Pelodiscus sinensis: one gene and its partner. The protein of the gene in region 2 purifies or fractionates together with the protein of the main gene of each other region. This does not show direct contact. Links are inferred from orthologs where the notes say so. Each region holds a gene or a part of one and is shown on either strand. Other genes may lie near its edges.

Region 1 (10,187 bases), on a different chromosome or scaffold from region 2:
ACCGCTATCTATAACACCAGGAGCAGGATGCTGGACGAGGGGTTCTCTGCGACTGTGGGGCCTATTTCCGTTCCTCCCTGGTTTCACGTATCCGGGCAGAGCTCCTCTGGGCGGCGTCCACTGGCTCCTTCGACAGCTTTGAGGAGCAGTGGGCGCTGTCCGGGGTTCTCTGCTCGCTGTCCCCATCCGGTTCCCTAGTTATAAACCTTTAGCCCGCACGCCTTGCCCTTTTTGTCATTATTTGTCCCCAGGAATTAGTTGAGCACGGGTCCAGTCGTCCCTCCCGCAAGGCTGGGGGAGGGGCTTTTAGAAAGCCCGCCCACTCTCCCGTGTCCTCAAATAGACCCAGTGGGGGGCTGTGACAGCCCCCAGAGAAGGGGGCTCCCGGCACCTCGGTGCTAATGAAAGAGTCGAGTCCTGCACTGAATTAGGGACAGGTTTCAGGGACCCTCACCCGGTGCTGAGATGCAGCTGCCTCTGGGGGGGTGCAGGGGCTGCTTACACAGGGACCCCTCACTCAGCGCTGAGATGCAGCTGCCTCTGGGGGGGTGCAGGGGCTGCTTACACAGGGACCCCTCACTCAGCGCTGAGATGCAGCTGCCTCTGGGGGGGGTGCAGGGGCTGCTTACACAGGGACCCCTCACTCAGCGCTGAGATGCAGCTGCCTCTGGGGGGGTGCAGGGGCTGCTTACACAGGGACCCCTCACCCGGCGCTGAGATGCAGCTGCCTCTGGGGGGGGGGCGCAGGGGCTGCTTACACAGGGACCCCTCACCCGGCGCTGAGATGCAGCTGCCTCTGGGGGGGGCGCAGGGGCTGCTTACACAGGGACCCCTCACCCGGCGCTGAGATGCAGCTGCCTCTGGGGGGGTGCAGGGGCTGCTTACACAGGGACCCCTCACCCGGCGCTGAGATGCAGCTGCCTCTGGGGGGGTGCAGGGGCTGCTTACACAGGGACCCCTCACCCGGCGCTGAGATGCAGCTGCCTCTGGGGGGGTGCAGGGGCTGCTTACACAGGGACCCCTCACCCGGCGCTGAGATGCAGCTGCCTCTGGGGGGGTGCAGGGGCTGCTTACACAGGGACCCCTCACCCGGCACTGAGATGCAGCCTCCTTTGGAATGAAGTGAAGCAGTTATTTAAAAGATGCAGCAACATCACACTGCTGGTTGGGACCGAAAGCGGAAGAGGGGCCATATCCCAGCTCACAATCCCCTCTGCTTTTGTATCTCCCCACACACAGCTCTGCCCGTGCCCCTCACTCCTGACCCGCAGTCCCCTGCCAGCCCAGCCCTGGGTTCCCCCAGACCTGGTGGTGCCCCTCACTCCCAACCTGCAGCCCCTGCTATCCTGACCCTGGGTTCCTTGGCAAACATGAGGGGCAGGGTGTGGGGCTGGTAATGTCGCTCGCTTTTCCCCACTGCCACTGCCCCAGTCTGAACCCAGCGCGGGCCCCCTGCCCTGGCCAATGTGTCTCCCCTTCCCCCTCTCCCATGCCCTCTCCTGCCTGTTTACCTGCCTTTGGCTTCATCTCTCCCCAAAGGCTCCTGTTACCTGCTGGTTCCCCGGTGCCCCGGCCGTTGTCAGGAGAACGCTTGATCCGGCCGCTGGTTTTGGGATTAAGGCACCAGAGCAAGCACAAAAGAGCCAGCGAGCCGAGGGGCCACAATTAACTAATTACCTGCTCGGCCTTTAATCCCCGGCGGGGAGCGCGTAACCCAATCGCACCCCCTTATACAACGAGGCTCCTGAGGGACTGGCTGAGCCAGGCACGACCACCCACCCCCAGCACCTCAGCCCCTCCGCAGGGAGACGAGACCGTGGAGCGCAGCAGGCTCCTTAATCCAGCAGATAAAGGCAGAGCAAGATTGGAGGCTGGGAGCTGAAACGAGAGACAGTCAGGCTAGAAATCAAGTGCCAATTTTTCAAAAGGAGGGGAATTAACCATTGGACTGAACCCAGAATTCCTGGCTTCCAGCCCCCCTGCTCTAACCACTGGGCCTCACTCCCCTCCCAGAGCTGGGAATAGAACTCAGGAGTCCCGGTACCTAGTCCTGCTGCTCTAACCACTGGGACTCACTCCCCTCCCAGAGCTGGGAATAGAACTCAGGAGTCCTGGTACCTAGCCCTGCTGCTCTAACCACTAGACTCCCCTCCCAGTAAAACTCAGGAGTCCTGAACAGTGGGCTGGCAGCAAACAGCCTCTCAATTTTGGGGATGGATTGAATTCAGACGGGCTAAGCGAACTGCAAAGAAATGGGAAGGGGAGGATGGGGGGTGGAAGGAAGTGAAGTGGAAGGGGGCTGAGTGATGGCAAAGTGAGTGAGCATTGCCAGCAGATCTAGGGGAGCGATTATTCCCTTTTATTTGGCACTGGGGAGCCCACATCTGGAGTATTGCGGCCAATTCTGGGGGGCCCCGTACAGAAAGGACGTGGACGCATTGGAGAGAGTCCAGTGAAGGGTGACAAAAATGATTCGGGGGCTGGAGCACTTGACCTATGAGGAGAGGCGGAGGGACTGGGGCTTGTTTAGTCTGCAGAAGAGAAGAGTGAGGGGGGATTTGAGAGCAGCCTTCAACTTCCTGCAGGGAGGTACCAAAGAGGATGGAGAGAGGCTGTTCTCTGTGGTGGCAGATGGCAGAACAGGGAGCCATGGTCTCTAGTTGCAGGGAGGGCATGAGGGGTCGAGGTTGGATATTAGGGGAAACTATTTCTGTAGGAGGGTGGGGAAGAACTGGGGTGGGTTCCCTAGGGAGGGGGTGGAGTCTCCATCCCTAGAGGTGTTTAAGTCTCGGCTTGACAAAGCCCTGGCTGGGATAATTGGGTCGGCGTTGGTCCAGCTTTGGGCAGGTGTCTGGACTCGATGACTCCTGACGTCTCTGCCCACCCTAGGAGTCTGTGATTCTATGAATGGTGACATAAGGCGTAACACGGTAAAACAAAATAAAATCTCCCTTACGGCGCCATTTTTGTCACCTCTCAGCAGCCCATGCCCCAGTGACTCACCCTCACTAAAGACACAGCCTACTGAAAGATCACCACCTCGCACGAGAGATACTCTCTCTGCTGGAGACGCAACATCCTTATGACGAACTATGCAAGAAGATCGGATGGGGCGACGGAAGAACAGCTGACCTCAAGGGAACATACTCTCGCTTACATTCCTCAATCCACCCGACCAATCGGTCCATCTCGGCAGGAGAAGTTTGGCTATACTGATGACCCATGCACTGCTGCCCAGGCCAAAGATCCAGGCTGAAGTTGTGTTACCAGTAGCGCAATCCAGGGTCTCAATCGGTTACACCAAGAACCGGCTGCGTGCCAGCCCAGACAGAACACAAGTGAATCTCTTCCCTCAGTGCAGTTATGAGGCTGGAAGCCAAATTGACATCTGGAATGAGGTACCCCTTGCCCGGTGCGGGGTTCCTGCCTGTTTCGGAGTGATGCCTGCCTGTACTCTCTTTTGAGGTCCACATGTAGGGTTGCCCGGTGACCAGTTTTGTACCGAACAGTCCAGTATTTGAGCTTTCTGTTCGGGAAAAAAATTGAGAAACTATAATTGAGTAACTAGAACTGTCCAGTATTTTCTCAATCAGACGTGATGTAGATTGTGATGTAATGTCAAGTGTGTCCAATATTTTTGTTGAAACCATCTGGCAACCCTACCCACATGGAGAAAGTGAAAGGCAAAGCTAAGTGCCTTGGACTTCAGGGCTCTATTCCCAGCTCTGGTAGCGGAGTGTAGGGTTACCAGATGGGTTTCAAAAAAATACCAGACACGTGATCTCAGAATGGGAGGGGGAGGGCGACCGGCCGGGAGGGGAGTGGGGCTGGCTGGGGGAGATCAGAGAAGGAACCGGCCGGCGGAAAGCAGGGCTTGCTGGGAGGGGGTTGGAGGGAGCAGGGCTGGCTTGGGGAGAACCAGCCAGTGGGGAGTGGGGCTGCCCCGGGCGCACGCAGATCCTGTGGTGCTGCCCATCCCGCGCATGGTCCCGGCGCGGCACACGGGTAAGTCTGGCCCCAGGGATTCCATCCCACCCTGGCTCCACCCTCCCCTCCCCCCACTGTGTAGTTGTGTACTGCCTGGCTGGTCGACGCGCTCACGCAGCGTGACTCACGCAGTGCGAGTGTGTCGACCAGCCAGGCAGTACGCAGCTACGTACTGATACTCATTATAACAATAAAACGTAGGTAATTAGAAAATACCCAACATTTCTATGTCCGGTATTTTCTCAATTTGTTTCCCAGACAGAAAGTTCAAATACCAGACTGTCCGGTTCAAAACCGGACACCTGGCAACCCTAGGGTAGTGGGGTCTAGTGGGTTAGAGCAGGGAGGCTAGAAGCTAGGAATTCTGGGTTCTGTCCATGGTGTCTGGTTTTGAACCAGACAGTCCAGTATTTGAGCTTTCTGTTTGGGAAACAAATTGAGAAAATAGAAATGTCCAGTATTTTCTCAGTAAGACAAATGTAGATTGTGATGTCATGTCAAGTATGTCCAGTATTTTTGTTGAAACCATCTGGCAACCCTATCTGTCCAACGCTTAACACACTAGGAGTGAACCAATTCAACTTGGGGAACCAGCCCAGCTCCAAACTGTCACGCCTGCACTTGGCTATTTGATGGCTGAATACACCTGTCTGGTGTGAGCAAAACTGGCCCATGCAGAGAAACAGGACCCGGCATTGCATGACAGCTTCCTCTACCTCCCGGGATGTCTATACCCCACCACAGCTTTTCCGCGCTTGCTGGAATCGCTCGCCCCGATATCGGCAGAGAGGTTGCAAGCAATATGGAACAATGACGACAGGTTGAAGATACTGGACATCAGCAGACATGGCTTTGGTTTGGATTGGCTAAAGTCTGTTCAAATGTGTTTATATGCCCAATAGGATGTACCATTAAGAAAACGGCCTGGTATAAATTTACTTGAACTTCACGCTAAGTTGGCTCGACCTCGACAGGAGTTGTGCTCCAGACACAGGCAAAGGGGGGCATATTTGGGTGGGCATATGGCTAAGTGGGTGGGCCCTGGCTAGGGTTGCCAGGTGTCCAGTATTGAACCGGACAGTTCGGTAGGCGATTCTTAAAGGGGCCACGCGCTTGCTTTCTTTCTTTCTTTCTTTCTTTCTTTCTTTCTTTCGTTTTTTGTTGTGTTTGTTTATTTAACAACTCTTGGGTCCTTTTTTTTCGGAATTTTTTTCTGAAACCAGCTGAGGCCCACCCAGGCCAAAATGGGCATCGAACTCCTTTGGGCGGGCGCAGGAGGGGGAGGGTCCGGCGGGGGGGGGTGAAAGGTGTTGGGGGAGGGGAGGCTGCTGCCCCTGGGCGGGGGATGGGCAGATTGTGGGTGGGGTGAGGGTCTAGGGCCAAGGGGATCACTGGGAGGGGGCGGTGGGGTCAGAGGTCAAAGGTCATTGAGGGGAGGCTGAAGATGGGGTCAAAGGGCACAGAGGAGAGGCTCATGTGACCAGGGCTCTCGGGTCAAAGGGCACAGAGGAGAGGCAGGGGTCGGGGTCAAAGGGCAGGTGGGAGCTGTCCCATCCCCAGGCCGGCAGCACCGGGCGACGGACCAAGTTACCCAGCGACCCCCGCGCGGCGCCTTCGCGCGGCCAGAACTACAGGTCCCAGGGGGCTTTGCGGCGCGCGCCTGCGCAGTGCGCACCGCCCGGGCCGCGGGAAGATGGCGGCCGGCAGGGGGCCGCGCGCGACGTGAGGGGTCGCCGGGCGGGATAGCGAGCGGGTGAGGGGGGGGCCGCTGGCCCGGGCGGGGGCGTTGAGAGGGGGAGGGGCTGGCGATGCGGGCGGGCTCGGGAGGGGGGGCTGGCGAGGGGGGGGCCGCTGGCGATGCGGGGGGGGCTGGCGAGGGGGGAGGGGCTGGCGATGGGGGGGGCGAGGGGGGAGGGGCTGGCGATGCGGGGGGGCTCGGGAGGGGGGGCTGGCGAGGGGGGGCTCGGGGGGGGCTGGCGAGGGGGGGGCTGGCGAGGGGGGGGGAGGGGCTGGCGATGCGGGGGGGCTCGGGAGGGGGGGCTGGCGAGGGGGGAGGGGCTGGCGATGTGGGGGGGCTCGGGAGGGGGGGCTGGCGAGGGGGGAGGGGCTGGCGATGCGGGGGGCTCGGGAGGGGGGGCTGGCGAGGGGGGAGGGGCTGGCGATGCGGGGGGGCTCGGGAGGGGGGGCTGGCGAGGGGGGAGGGGCTGGCGATGCGGGGGGCTCGGGAGGGGGGAGGGGCTGGCGATGTGGGGGGGGTTGCTTTGGAGGCTGCAGGGGGCTGGCCCGGAGTGGTGGGATCTGGGGGGTGCAGGACGGGGGCTGGGGGCTGCTTGGCAGTGGGGTGAGCTGGGGTTCCCCTGGGGAAACGGGGTGAGGCCAGGGCGGGGCCTGGGGGGTCTGGCTGGAAGGGGCAGGAGGGGGGCGGGGCTGGGGACCACTCCCAGCAGGGTGCTGACCAGTCGCCTCGTTAGCAGCTGGAGGAGCCAGGCCGAGGGCCACCCGGAGCGGCCGGCGCGGCGCTGCCCTTCCACAGACCCGTTGGCAGGGGCCGTATCCGCGCTCGGGCTCCGGCCCCGTCCCTGCACCCGGAGCCATGGCCAGCGGCACAGGGGATGGCGGCAACGCCCGCTTGAGCATCGCCTCCCAGTTCTTCACCCAGGAGGAGGGCAGCGGCACGGACAGCATGACCACCTCGGAGAGGGTGCGTGGGGAGCAGGCAGGGAAGGCTGGCTCTCATCCGGCCATGTGTCACAGGCCCAGGGGTGGGGAAACGAGATACAGGGTCTTTCCCCTCCGCCGGCTCTGCTCCAGCCCCAGGGCGGGGGAGTACCTGGGACCCAAGTTCAGGAAAAGTTAGTCAGGTCACCTGCCTTGTCAGTTACAGTCCACTTTCCATGTGTATAGTGAAGGTCTAAATGTTGGGGCTACATGATGTGCTCCCCAGTGATCTCCCTGCAGTGCACCGCGTCTTTACAGGCTCTGGCTAGCTCTTGTGAGGCCGCATAGTCTGGGGAGAAGGCACCTGTCTGGGTCTTCACAGACCTGGCTTCCCCCCTGCCCCTGCTCTTCTGGGACCCTTTGGGCAGACCCCTTCCTCTCCCTGGGGCTGGCTCCCCTTCTGCCTGTCTTGTCTGTGCAGCTTTTATCCCAAGGCCACTGACGCTGGGTGGGGATGTGATCCGTTTCCTGGTATATTGCACCGGTGCAACCCTGGCGTGGGCTATTCCCCTCCCCCACGCCAACAGGGTATGGCGGCCTCCACGCTGGAGGGAAACTAGACTGGTGTTGGCAGAGCCCTGGATCGCTGAGGGGGTAGATTGGAAGCCCTTTGGGGCAGGGACTATCTCTTGCGATGTCTGTTCAGCGCCTGGTACAATGGGGCCCTGATCTCAGGGGCTCTAGGCACTACCATAGTGCTAGTGGGATGGGTGTCTGTCACCAGGATAGCCATCGGCATTTGCCATGTACCCCTCCCAAGCTACCGCGGGCCGCCCCCCTGTTCTTGCCAACTGCCCCCTGTCCCCACAGGCCGCCCCTCTGTTCCCACCAGAACTCCTGGCCTGGTTGCCATCTCTGCTTGTGCTGTCCTGTTGTGCTGCGTGAGCAGTTATCTCTGAACTGTCGTGAGCTCTCAGCCTCGCTTGGCCCTTGGGTGTGACCAGTTTGATCGTCTTGGGAGGGATTCCTTAGAGCCAAGCTGCCCTCGAGTGCCCTGGTGCTTCCTCACGGGCTCCTCTCTCTGCAGGTGGTGGATCTGTTAAACCAGGCTGCCTTGATCAGCAATGACTCTAAAATCACCATCCTCAAAAAGGTGAGCAAGAACGCTGCCCCCCCTCCCCGCAGGAATGGGATGACACCAGGCTGGGAGTGGAGGACGCTGGGAAAACAGAACCCACCATATGCCCCTGGCTCACTCCACCCTGCACAGAGCCCCTCATGTCACAGTGGGTGGGTCCGTGGGGCAGGGCACTCCATGGGGGGGTGGGCAGATGGGCAATGGCTGATGCTGCAAAACCTCTCCACTGGTTCAAGACTCACCTGCTGTCCCTGCTTTCCCCATAGGTCCAGGAGCTAATTATAAACAAGGACCCCACGCTGCTGGATAACTTCCTGGATGTGAGTAGCCGTGGGCGTGCCAGGGGCGCCTTTCCTGACTCTCCTTGTGCCCATGCCAAGGGCTGATGCCGTATCACTGGCACTGCCACCCCTTCGCTCAGCAGCCCCCTCCCCATGGCAGCTGAACGAGGCGGAGAATTCCTCTGACTTGCCGAGCAAAGGACACGACAGAACATCAGCTCCCTGCTCAGTGGGCCCACAGCTTGGGGGCTGAGGTGTGGGGGGCTGCCCAAAGCTGGAGCCCCAGATGCCCGTCAAGCCTGGGCAGTGTCCGACGTAGACCCGAGGAGTGTGAATATTCTCACCCGGGCCTAACCTAAAACTTTCCGCAGCCTCCGCCCTGCCTGCGTTTGGGGGCGGCCGAGCTGTGCCTCGTGTTCCCAGCCCCGCTCTGCCCTGCCCCCTCCTCTTGGCCAGCTCTGCTGCCTGCTGGGCAGCTGGGGCCAGCCCTGACCGCCTGCCTCTCCGGCTGCAGGAGATCATCGCCTTCCAGGCGGACAAATCCATCGAGGTGCGCAAGTTTGTCATCGGCTTCATCGAGGAGGCCTGGTAAGGACGGCTTGGCTGCTGCACCCTGGAGCCCCTGGCTGTAACCTCCCTTCCCACCGAGTAGATGGGAGCCTCGTCCAGCCAGCTGCCTCACTCCCCACAGGCTGCAGCAGCTGGGAGCGCTCCCACCCCACTCCCTGCGCTCGCTTATCTCCAGCTAAGGTCCGTGCTGTGAGCAGGCCGGGAGCGGGGCCGGTAGGTTACAGCTGGGCTGTGAAGAGCCAGGACTCCTGGTTCTGTTCCCAGCAGGGGGAGGGGAGTCCAGTGGTTAGGAGCCAGGACTCCTGGGTTCTGTGCCTTGATCTGCCTTTGACTCCCAGTGTGACCATGGCAAGTCGTTCCCCCCCACCCTGCCTCAGTTTCCCTGCCAGTACAAGAGGTAAGGGGTCCATGGAAGCCAGCTGCGCTGTTCCTGGGCTGCTCGCCTCGCCTCGCCTCGCGCTCTCCTCCCTGAGTTTGTCCTCTCCCCCGCCCCAGCAAACGGGACATTGAGCTCCTGCTGAAGCTCATCGCCAACTTGAACATGCTGCTGAAGGACGAGAACGTCAACGTGGTGAAAAAGGCCATCCTCGCCATGACCCAGCTCTACAAGGTGGCTCTGCAGGTGAGCACTCGTCCGCCAGCGCCAGCCGGTGCGGCCCCAGCCTCTCTCAGCAGGGGGCGCTGCAGGAGGAGCTCCCAGCTATTCCAGCCTCTCCCAGCAGGGGGCGCTGCAGGAGGAGCTCCCAGCTATTCCAGCCTCTCCCAGCAGGGGGTGCTGTTGTGGGGGAGGGAGAGAACTCCCAGGTATTCTAGCCTTAGCCAGCATCCCACAGCGCCCCCTGCTGGGAATCTCAGGAGCTATGGGGAGCTCCCCACTGGCCTCTTGCAGCAGGGAGAACTTGCTGTGGGGGAAAATGCTGGTTACTCCAGCCCTGGCCTCTCCCAGCAGGAGGCGCTGCAGGATTGGCTCTGGCAAGAGCTGCTCTCTCTGGAGAGGCTTCAGGGGGGAGCAGGGTGGGGGCACTAGCCGTGGGGGGAGCTCCTGGCTACTCCAGCCGTGGCTGCTCCCACAGCGGAGTGGTCCACACAGGGCAGCCCGCCTTGGTTCTCACCTTTCCCTTCTGGCTCCCGGCAGTGGATGGTGAAGTCCAGAGTCATCAACGACCTGCAGGAGTCCTGCTGGGAGATGGTGTCGGCCATGGCCAGCGACATCATCCTGCTGCTGGACTCGGACAACGACGGCATCCGCACCCACGCCATCAAATTCGTGGAGGGGCTGATCATCACGCTCTCGCCCCGCATGCCCGACTCGGACGTGCCCAAGCACCACAAGAACGACATCAGCCTGGAACGCATCCCCAAGGACCACCCCTACATCAAGCACGGTGAGTGGGGGGGCCCGCGGGGGCTGTCAGCACGTGGCTCTTCCTCCCCCCCCCCCCCCCCCCCGGCCCAAATGCCTTAACCACCCCCCTCGCGCGGCTTGCGGCCTGTGCCGTGACCCCTCCCACTCCTGCCTTGCAGACGCGCTGTGGGAGGAGGGCAAGGGGGCC
Region 2 (10,662 bases):
TGGTTGGAAAAGCCAGATATTGTCATCAGTACAGTATCCAACACTTTTTTAAAAAAGTTAACACACTTGCAAAATGTTTAAAGCTTAGTTGTATTCAATAAGGTAAGGGGGAAAGAGCTATTCATACAGAATCAAAAAAGGAACTGAATAGGGAGAAGAAGAAAATAGCTTGTAACCATTTGCCAAGATGTACTACTGGAATTTGTAAGAGAAGCTAAATCCATGTCCTCAATGAAATCAAGATCATTTTTGACCATTTTTGAGAGAATCAATGTTAGACCCAAGGATTTCAAGTCACTTCTCTTACCTACGCACTCATCAGTATAAACCAGCATGTAAGGCATTTCTATATTAGCTGCTTTAACATTAAGGATTTTTCATCTCAGTCCCATTAACGGAATCAAGCCATAAGAGGAAGGCTGCTGAGATCCATTTAAAGGTTTTGTTTCAAACCAGAGTCACTCTGTAACCTTTGAAGTCCTAATAAAAGAAGCCAGGATATAACTATACTGACATACCACACAGTTCTCAGAGCAACAAGCTACTGAGCTGCCCAAACGATGGCCAGAACTACCCAACATGATTTTTTCCAGGGCTTTGCCTAGCGCCAGCACCCTAACACATGAGACACTGCAATTTCATTCCTTGGGAAAGGAGTTGAAAACACAAAGCTCAGGAAAATCCACATCATTGCAGAAACCCACCATAGCTAAGGGGGCACTGCAGAACTGAATGGTTTATTAAGGAGTCCCCCTCAATGCCTTCCTGATGTAAAGATGTTATCTTCAGCAAGCAGCTTTGACAAAGGAAGGAAGGAAAGTGGCATGTACAGAGACCCCTCTGTTTAAGCAAAAACAAAACAAAAACAGCTGCCCAGACAAAGCTTAATAGTAGGCTAACAAATTTACAGTAAGACCAATGCCTGACAAACTACATCATAGAACAACATTGGCATCAAAAGCCAGATGTAAACTGACCAAAGGACAGACGTGTGACTACAGGGGGCCAACTGGGAATGTTCCCACAAGTTGCTTAGATAGCCCTGTGGCTTGCCAGGCCATTGTTTTTCATGTGTTTCAAAGCACAAATTCATCTGCAGGAGAGAGGCTATACACTAGCCAAAACCTACTGCTTTGTTTGGAAGGGGGGGGATTGTGTCTCAAGTCCGATTTCTGAAGCCTCACATGGGAAGTGAGGCTTTTACATACAGCACAAACATTAGCCGTGACATACTGCACTTGGACGACAGACTAGCTTAATTTTGAGAAGCAGTGCACAGTATTAAAATGGAGGGTTAGTGTCAGGCTTTTCTAGAAGAATGCAAGCTCACTACAGATGCATACAGCAAGGGAAGGGAGGAATACAAGTTCCAATTTAATTTGTTGAATAGTGTGTCACAGTCCTCTGGATAGGAAAGACTTGTGGGGGACAAACAAATGCCATTTTCTGTCTTTAATCCTGCTGTATAAACAAGATGCAGTTTGCTCCTAGGCAAGAGCCATTTTATTACTATCCATGCATTTCTCTCCCTCGTGTACTTGCCTCCTCTGAGTTTTCATGAGGTACCAAATATGACTCAGAAAAACCACAAAGATCCCACCCACCGCTACACAACTCGAAATAGGGCAAGACCCAATAACTGCAGAGGACATCCCACTGCTCTGAGCAAGTATTAGGATTGAATTAGAGTCCTGGGTCTTATTTGTTTTCTCAGATTCCCTATGGCCTAAGGCACACCCATAGCCCTGTGTAAATAAATCCAGCAGGCTTCTTTGAGAACAGCACAGAAGGTGGGGAAACTGAAATGTCACAAAGCTTCAGGGAATGCCAAATCCTGGTTCATTTGCAGTCATATTTCTGTCCATGCCCAAAGACCATGCTGTTGCACATCTTCGAAATGGCCACCACACAGGAGTTTCGAGGTACTACTGGTACATTACGAACACCTAAGAAATACATAGGGCAGCACTGTTCCTCCATTAGCAGATTACCAACTGAAGCCCTATATGCACATTTTTTGAAGCCTGCAAATTAGTTAGTACTGACAGACCTTGTGAGATGATGAACTCATGCTCTGATAACTAGATTGGTAAGAGCCACCTTAGTTTTCATTCTTTATTGATTGCTTTATACACACACACACACACACATGAACATACACACAGAAATGTGAGTGTCAAACCAGCTTCACATTAAAAACAGAAAATGCTAATTAGAGACGAACCTTTTAATGGAGTTTCCATCTGCAAGCAGACTCATGGTCCCCAGGGGGAGGCTGAGAAATGGCTTATAGCATGTCTGGAGTGAGCGGAACATAACTACCCAGCCCATCTAGGATTTCCTTCACAGCTTACTGTGGGGACAGTCTGCAGATGGAGAGCTCACCCTGGAGGAATTATGCACCTCTGCCTCCCCACACTCCTTCAGCCCAGAGCCAGTCTCCTCCACATTCTTAATCCCACCATCACCCTCTTATCCTGGGAAATGGTGGCACACGCTCTCAGGGAAAGAGGATACCCACCCCAGATCTCCCTGTGCTTGGACACACCCCACCCCCTGGGGTGGAGGTAAGGAACAGTCCCACATACATCGGTGCCCCCTGGACACATGCAACACCCAGCTGCACCTCCCCCATTCCGCTCCTCCAGGTCCCTCACCCAGGGACTGCATGGGCCATGCCCCAGGAGGGCTCCCTCTGTTCCCACCGGCCCTGCCCCAGACACCCCCCCACCTCCCACCGCACCCTACCAAGGAGAGGAGTCGCTGAAGCCTGCGGCCCCCAGAGCAGCCCCAGGCCCCCCGCACCAGGGGGTCCCCGGCAGAGCCCTGGGCCCCCCCAACCCTGCTGGGCCTCAGACTCTCCCCCCTCCCGCTGCAGGGTCCCCCATGAGCCCACCCCATGGGACGCCCCACAGGAAGATCCCCCCCTGTCCCGAGAGGGGCCCCCCCCCCCACAGGCCCGGCCCCCCCCCGTCCCGAGAGGGGCCCCCCCCCCACAGGCCCGGCCCCACCTCCGTCCCGAGAGGGGGCCCCCACAGGCCCGGCCCCCCCCCACAGGCCCGGCCCCCCCTCCGTCCCGAGAGAGGGCCCCCACAGGCCCGGCCCCCCCTCCGTCCCGAGAGAGAGCCCCCACAGGCCCGCCCCCCCCCCACAGGCCCGGCCCCCCCTCCGTCCCGAGAGAGGGCCCCCACAGGCCCGGCCCCCCCCCCACAGGCCCGGCCCCCCCTCCGTCCCGAGAGAGGGCCCCCACAGGCCCGGCCCCCCCCCCACAGGCCCGGCCCCCCCTCCGTCCCGAGAGAGGGCCCCCACAGGCCCGGCCCCCCCCCCACAGGCCCGGCCCCCCCCCCGTCCCGAGAGAGGGCCCCCACAGGCCCGGCCCCCCCCCCCACAGGCCCGGCCCCCCCCCCGTCCCGAGAGGCCCCCCCCGTCCCGAGAGGGCCCCCCCCCACAGGCCCGGCCCCCCCCCGTCCCGAGAGGCCCCCCCCGTCCCGAGAGGGCCCCCCCCCACAGGCCCGGCCCCCCCCCGTCCCGAGAGGGCCCCCCCCACAGGCCCGGCCCCCCCCCCGTCCCGAGAGGGCCCCCCCACAGGCCCGGCCCCCCCCCGCCCCGAGAGGGCCCCCCCCACAGGCCCGGCCCCCCCCCCCGCCCCGAGAGGGCCCCCCCCACAGGCCCGGCCCCCCCCCCGCCCCGAGAGGGCCCCCCCCACAGGCCCGGCCCCCCCCCCGCCCCGAGAGGGCCCCCCCACAGGCCCGGCCCCCCCCCCCGCCCCGAGAGGGCCCCCCCACAGGCCCGGCCCCCCCCCCCGCCCCGAGAGGGCCCCCCCCACAGGCCCGGCCCCCCCCCCCGCCCCGAGAGGGCCCCCCCCACAGGCCCGGCCCCCCCCCCCGCCCCGAGAGGGCCCCCCCCACAGGCCCGGCCCCCCCCCCCGCCCCGAGAGGGCCCAGCCCGCTGCAGCGCCCCGGGTCCCGGCCCTACCTGCGGCGGAGGCGCCCGTCACGGCGCCCAGCAGCGCGCCCAGCAGCACCAGCGCCCCGGCCCCGCGCGCCCCCATGGTCGCCGCTCGCTGCCGCTAACCCGCCAAGAGCCGGCGCGCGCCGCCGCCGAGCCAAGTCACCTCGCGCCCGGCCCCGCCCCGCCCTTGCGCGCCCCACGGCGGCCAATCAGAGCGCCGCGGACTGGGCGGGGCCCACAAAGCGCCCCGCCCCTCCTGGCGACCGGAGCTCGCCGGGCCAGATCGAGGCAGCGCCCCGCCCACTGACCTTCGACGGCGGGGAAGGACGGAATCCGGGAGGGGACATGTGACCCGCAGGGTCGTGTCCTCGGGGCGCAGGTCGGGGCCGAGCTGAGCGAGGAAAGTCACGTGCGCGTGTGCGCACGAGAGAGGGGGACTATGCAAATGAGGAGGCAGGGCGTGGGGGGAGGGTATAGGAGGGGTACCAAGGGGGGAAGGGGAGAGGGAGAGGGTTGAGGCTGGTGGGGGGAAGGGCAGTGGGGGGAGGGCTACCAAGGGGGGGCAGGAAGGGAGGAGTACCAAGGGGGGGAAGGGTGGGGGGGAAGGGTATAGGAGGGAGGGGGTTGAGGCAGGTGGGGGGAAGGGCAGTGGGGGGAGGGCTACCAAGGGGGGGCAGGAAGGGAGGAGTACCAAGGGGGGGAAGGGTGGGGGGGGAAGGGTATAGGAGGGAGGGGGTTGAGGCAGGTGGGGGGAAGGGCAGAGGGAACAAGGATTTTGGGGGGGGCAGGGAAAGAGCAGACACCCATGTCTGGGCCTGTCTGCCCCTGCCCCAAATCACTTAGAGGCAGCTCAAGTCACAGCAAGGCCCCTAACGAGGCTGACTCAGGACTCCACGCAGCACGGCCTCCATCCCCTGCTGCGGATGAGCCAGACAGAACATGTGGGGGGAGAGCAGAGACTGGCCTTCCTGGTCAGTTTCTGCTGTAGGACACCCAGCCCCTCTGGGACTAGTGGAGCCATTCCTCCGAACCCCTGGGAGAAGTTCCCTGCCAAAGGGGCAGCTCTGTGCTTCCCCTTTCAGGCAGCAGCTAGCAAGGGGGCGTGAAGCTGAGGGCAGGGGTGGCGTGGAAATACATTTGGTGCCTTGGCAATGGGGAGCCTATAGCTTGACCTCCTCAGGCACTCAGTGTAGCAGATCACTGGTTCCCTTCGCACTGGCAGTCTCATGCCACTTTGCCGACATTGAATGAAGAAGGCATCCCAAATCTTCTGTGATGCTTTTGAGGCACAATGTCCCTGTGTTATAGAAAGGGGAACTGAGGCACAGAGTAGTCAGTACATTGCCTGAGGTCGCACAGCAAATCATCAGCAGAGCTGGGTGCAGATTAAGAAAACTGCAGGAGTCCTGCTGTCCCTCCTCCAGCTCACTATACACAATACTTCCTACACTTCACTGCTGCAATAAACAGTGCTGGCCTTACCATGAGGCAACACCCGAAGCAGCAGCCTCAGGTGTCAGACTGGGGGTGGGGAGGGACACCACTAGTTCACACTTTTTGAACAAGGCATTTTAAGTTGTTAGTTCTCCTTTATTGGGGTAGGTAGCAGAGCAGTTCCATGAGAGGAGTAGAACAGGAAGGAGGCAGAATTGAGACCTTTCAAAGTTTTGGCCCAAGCAAGGGGGCCTGGGGGCGTCATTTGAGCTCCCTGCCTCAGGTGCCAAAATGTTGTGGGCTGGCCCTGGCAATAAAGTACACAGTACAGCCCTTAGCTCCAGACTTGCTTATTGGATGGATTCTTGGGCAGTGATCCATTCATCAGGCATATACAGCAAGGGGGCTTAAAATCCAGGAGCTGTTCTCAACTCTGATCATTTCATTTTTGTACCTTCCCTTGTCTGTTTTAATAATAGGAATGAAGAATCCCTTCAAGAGAGGCTCTGCTTTGGTTTGGAAACACTCTACCCCCAGGGTCTGAAAGTGACACCAGCAATACATGAAGGAGCAAGATTGCCATCTTTCTCCAGGAACGCCCTGACAAAGGCACTCCTGCATTGCTTTTCCATCTGGGATGTTAGAGAGTGTTTATTTTAGTAATCACACACCTCAGAAAGGCAGTAAACTTGAGGAAAGCAAAAGCACCATCAGCTTTCTGTGTAACAAGGCCTGTTGAAGCCGGGTACTCGCCCTTTGTTCCAACCCAGAAAACCAGCTTTGAATTAAAAGACACATAGAAGGAATAAAGATGCTAATTATCTTACCCATTACAAAGATAGCTTCCCCAATTATCACCTCTAATACCATTAGCTCACAGACATTTACCTCCCTCCCTTCCCTCCCCCCTCCATCCTCCTTCTGTTCTGAAATGTGATTTGTCCTTTTCATAGGTGTTCATTTTTTTAATTGTCTCCTTTGGTATATATGGCTGTGACTATTTTCTTCCACTATTTGATCTGAGGAAGTGGGTCTGGCCCACGAAAGCTCATCACCTATTAAACCATCTTGTTAGTCTGTAAAGTGCTACACAGTCCTGTGTTTTGTGTGAGAAGGATTTGTGTGTGGTTTCAAGATTTCCAGCCCCACTACACCTGCCATTTTTAAAGCCAGACTATCAGCCTCCACCCCAGCGTTTATTCTGTCAATTGCTGCCAGCCAGGGGCGGCCTGTGGATGTAAGCAACCTCAGCAGTTGCATTTTACGCGGCGCCCAATGATGACATCACGCCATTGAGGGCTATGGAAGCGGGGGCGCCAATCGCGCATTCCGCCCAGGGCGCCAGATGCCGGCAGCTCTCCTCGAGCCGCTCCTGCTGCCAGCGTGCATGGGGCTGAGCAAGTCAGGGCAGCTAAGCAGATGGATAACACAGCGAGTGGCCCAGGGATGGAGTCTGTCAGAGTGAGACTAACCTCATCTTCTCCAGTAGGCTCAGTGCCAAAAATTCCAACTGTCTTTAAGTTGAATGACAAAGCATTTCAGATGCTCCAGAGCAGCAGCAGCAATTGTTCCTCTTGCTGATCAGCCACCAGCTCCTGGGAGAAGACCTATTCTTTCCCTCCCCACACCCTCCGTGCACCATGTATTTACTGAGGGATCCCTCTATGGCCTTGGTTTGTTCTGTTTTACTGCCTACAGAAGTCTGGAACGCACTGCCACTTTAATTGCTGGTTGCTCGAGGTGGAAGACCACGTGATCCATAGCTAGGATGTTGCTTGTGGCAGGCCAGGATGGGTTCCTAGTGGGGGTTGCCTCAGCAGTGCTTAGCTGTTACTGTAAAAATCCTATGGGAAGCCACATGGATTCTGTGGGCGGTTGAGAAGGAGATCAGACAGATACAACCTCCACTGTGACAGTGTCTGCACCAGCCACGGCTGGGTGGGGAGAGGTTGCTGTAATAGCCTTAAAAACAACCCCCGCCCCCTCCCCAGGTCAAAACCCAAGTAAAGCTAGGTATAGAGGCTGGTGCTCCATGTCACTGGACTTTGGCCGGGTCTGTGTTTGCAGACACCACACGCTTCCTAGGCCTCCTTACAGATTCGCATTCCAGCCAAATTCCAGCTCGTGCCCATTACAATGTTTCTGCCTCCTCCTGTTTTTTTCCATTCATCACTGCCAGCAACACTGTCCTCCCCATACTGATGCTGAATATTAATTGGATCAAGATCAGCCAAAAAGGCGGAACAAGAGTTCTGGAGCCAGCACCTTGGCTCCTAACAGCTGCTCTGGCGCTTTGCTTTTTATCCTCTGCTAGCTGGCCTGCTCTGTAAGTAGCTCTGGGCAGTCCCTCTTGTCTTTGATCCCAGAAGTGGCTGCGTTTTGGTGGGGGAAGGGAGCAAGGGAGCATGCCGGAGGTGCACTTCACCCGTATATCCCCACCCTCATTTTAATGGCTAAATGGGGTGCCCCCACATGTCCCGGCCCCTTGGGCGGTCCTCCTTCCACCCCTTCCCCCCTGCAGGCACTGGTCGCCCCTGGCAGGGAGAGAGGAGATTCTTGTATAGCAAAGTCTGGAACCTGCAGGGTTTGTGGTCGTTGGGAGGGGCACATGCGGGATCAGGACCAGTCATGCCATGTTAAAGGCAAAGCTGTTAGAATACAAGGTCTGGTTTGCAGCAGGAAAAACCTCCCATTAACGGCTAATTCCCCCCCCCCCCCACTATCCTGCCTCTCCCCAAAAGTCTCATGCCTGGGGATCTGGTATCCCAGGTCAACAACAAGTCCGACTCCTTTGCATGTCATCTCCAGCGGTGTCTCCTACAGACACGTGTTAAACTTTCGTTTTTATGGCTGGCTCCTAGGTCAGCGTGTGCCTCGTCCCCTCAAGAAGAGGCTTTAAGAGATGGGCGCGGCCCTGAACGCGTTTCTCAGCCATGCTCCGTGCCCGGTCTTTTCCCCTGGGGCACCCCACTGGCATCAGAAGATCGCCTGGAAGCCACACTAGATCGTGTCCTTAGAGAATCCAGCCCCGACTCTTCCTCAGGCACTTGGGCACCGCCTGACCGCACACGGCTAACCAGCTGGGCATCGGGGAGCAGAGCCAGCCCAGCTTGAGAACTCTGCCCCAGGGAGTGTGGGCTATAAAAAGCAACATGCACATTCGAGTTCCTTGGCAGGCGAGGGACGCGAGAAGCAAGGGCAGCGCGACACTGGCACTTGATCCAGTCGCCGCTGCTTGACAGGCAGCCCTGGGCGGTGAATGCGCGTGGGAATGCCGGTAAAGCGAGCCCCCCCTTGTAGGGGGTGGAAGTATTTGATCAGCACCAGCATTCCCCAGGGACGTAACGTCCCAGTTAATCAGTTAACCGGGCAAGTGTTGGGTTAACGGCCGTACGGGGCCAGCCCAAAGGTCCATCCAGCCCAGTAGCTGGAATGCTCTTAGCTAACCTGCTGGGCCTCGGGGAGCAGCGCTCTCCTCATGTTTAATTGGTTAACCAGCTAAGCAGGATCTGGGGAGGGCTGCTCCAGGCTCCCAGCCGCCACCAGAGCAGCCCTTGTCGGCAGCAGGCCCAGCTCCTAGCCCCCACCAGGTATCGGTTAACCGGAACCCGTAAGAATCCCCTGCGTAGGGTGATCTTACTGGTGACCTGGTTACCCTTTCTCAGCCCAGGTGTTCCCACATGGTGACCTTCATTTTAACATGACAGTGTCGAGACGGCCTTGTTGCTACACATGAGAACATAAGAACGGCCGTACTGGGTCAGACCAAAGGTCCATCTAGCCCAGTAGCCTGTCTGCCAACAGTGGCCAGCACCAGGTGCCCCAGAGAGGGTGGACCGAAGACAATGATCAAGCGATTTGTCTCCTGCCATCCCTCTCCAGCCTCTGACAAACAGAGGCCAGGGACACCATTTTATCCCCTGGCTAATAGCCTTTTATGGACCTAACCTCCATAAAGCTTTTTATCTAGCTTCTCTTTAAACTCTATTATAGTTCCAGCCTTCACAGCCTCCCCCAGCAAGGAGTTCCACAGGTTGACTATGCGCTGTGTAAAGAAGAACTCTCTTTTATTAGTTTTAAACCTGCTACACGCTGCCTTAGGTAGCCATGCCCTCAGATAAGCTAATTATACCAGTGTGATGATGGGCTCATTGAAGAGCTAGGGGCTTTCAGTGCAGTGAAGGATGCTTGTCTTTCAGATCATTCTCATTCCTCCACTTCCTCAGCGACCCTTTCCTTGGTCCTCAGAGCTGCTCTGGTCTTGGCATTATCTGTCTGCCCAGGAGAGAATATTTAAACCGGGGAGGGGGGAGGGAGCACTCTGGTGGGGAGAGTAGAGGCAGCGAAGAGAACAATGCACTGGCCACATAACAAAGTAAAAGGCAGGAGCAAGTTGACTTCAAAGTCTGAAGCCATCCCTTGGGTTTAGGTCAATTGATCTCATTCCCACCACCCTGGGAAGTTCACGTTGTTTCTGCAGCCAGAGGGCAGGATCAGGACGGATGTAGCCCCCCTGTCAGCGTGGTTATCCCACCAAGCACACAGCCAGGTGCATTATCTGAGGAGAGGCGTTAACTTTCCGCTGAAGCAGACCCCGGCGGGGGCAGGATATGGGAAGCATCGGTCTGCTCCCTGGTTGTATTTCCTGAGACTCAACTCCTGGGTTTGACAGGAACATGCTACAGCAGTTGGCCCTTGAGTTCAACTGTTGAGAGTCAAGCCACGATAAAATCATGAGATCTTAAAAAACAATCGAAGCCGGGGTCTTTTCCTTTGCCTTCCAGTGTTGGGGTGTCCTCACGGTTATGTTTTAGGCCTTTCTCTCTTACCACGAGCCTTAGAAACTGGAACTGGTTTTAAACAAACCAAAAATTGCATCCTATGTGAAATTCTGAGATTTTCCAATTTCATTTCATCCTGCCTTGGGTCTAAGTAGAAGTGCTGAATGTGTCATGACACAGAGCATTCCAGAACATGTAGCCGAGGTCAAAACATGTGTCTGACTTCCATATTTAAATTAGAAGACTAAATGAAACATTTCAGCCTCATCAGAAGAATTGCTTTTATAATTTCCTTTTGAGACTTTCAGAACCAAAAAAAATCCCAAGATGATGCCACCATATTTTGAATTCATTCACACCAGCTTTTGCCAACAGAAACGAGTTCCATCGAAAAATCTGCCCAGCTCAGTTAGAATCCTACTTTTCAAAAAAGAAAGGCCAAGATTCTCACGGAGAGTACGTCTACACTGCAGGGGCACCAGAGGAATCCCAGAAA

What was found. Proteins that work in one complex are often made in the same cells at the same time.
Region 1: the proteins of BSG (region 2) and SYMPK purify together in Homo sapiens (co-immunoprecipitation; 3 studies listed by BioGRID and IntAct, counting the BioPlex papers as one, with this or other methods). This does not show direct contact. The link is inferred for Pelodiscus sinensis from reciprocal best matches to the Homo sapiens genes BSG and SYMPK.

What each region holds. Positions count from the first base shown.
Region 1 is NW_027465849.1:6,379,008-6,389,194, reverse strand, and holds the start of SYMPK (symplekin), read left to right. Parts: upstream 1-5,593; 5' UTR 5,594-5,740; intron 5,741-6,458; exon of another isoform or gene 6,459-6,461; 5' UTR 6,462-6,580; coding exon 6,581-6,688; intron 6,689-7,732; coding exon 7,733-7,798; intron 7,799-8,049; coding exon 8,050-8,103; intron 8,104-8,578; coding exon 8,579-8,652; intron 8,653-9,129; coding exon 9,130-9,256; intron 9,257-9,769; coding exon 9,770-10,019; intron 10,020-10,158; coding exon 10,159-10,187. UniProt on the Homo sapiens protein: Scaffold protein that functions as a component of a multimolecular complex involved in histone mRNA 3'-end processing. Specific component of the tight junction (TJ) plaque, but might not be an exclusively junctional component. May have a house-keeping rule.
Region 2 is NC_134729.1:15,825,585-15,836,246, reverse strand, and holds the start of BSG (basigin), read right to left. Parts: upstream 4,137-10,662; 5' UTR 4,052-4,136; coding exon 3,976-4,051; intron 2,859-3,975; exon of another isoform or gene 2,244-2,858; coding exon of another isoform or gene 2,225-2,243; intron 1-2,224. Other genes in the region: basigin-like, read right to left, coding at 2,225-2,243.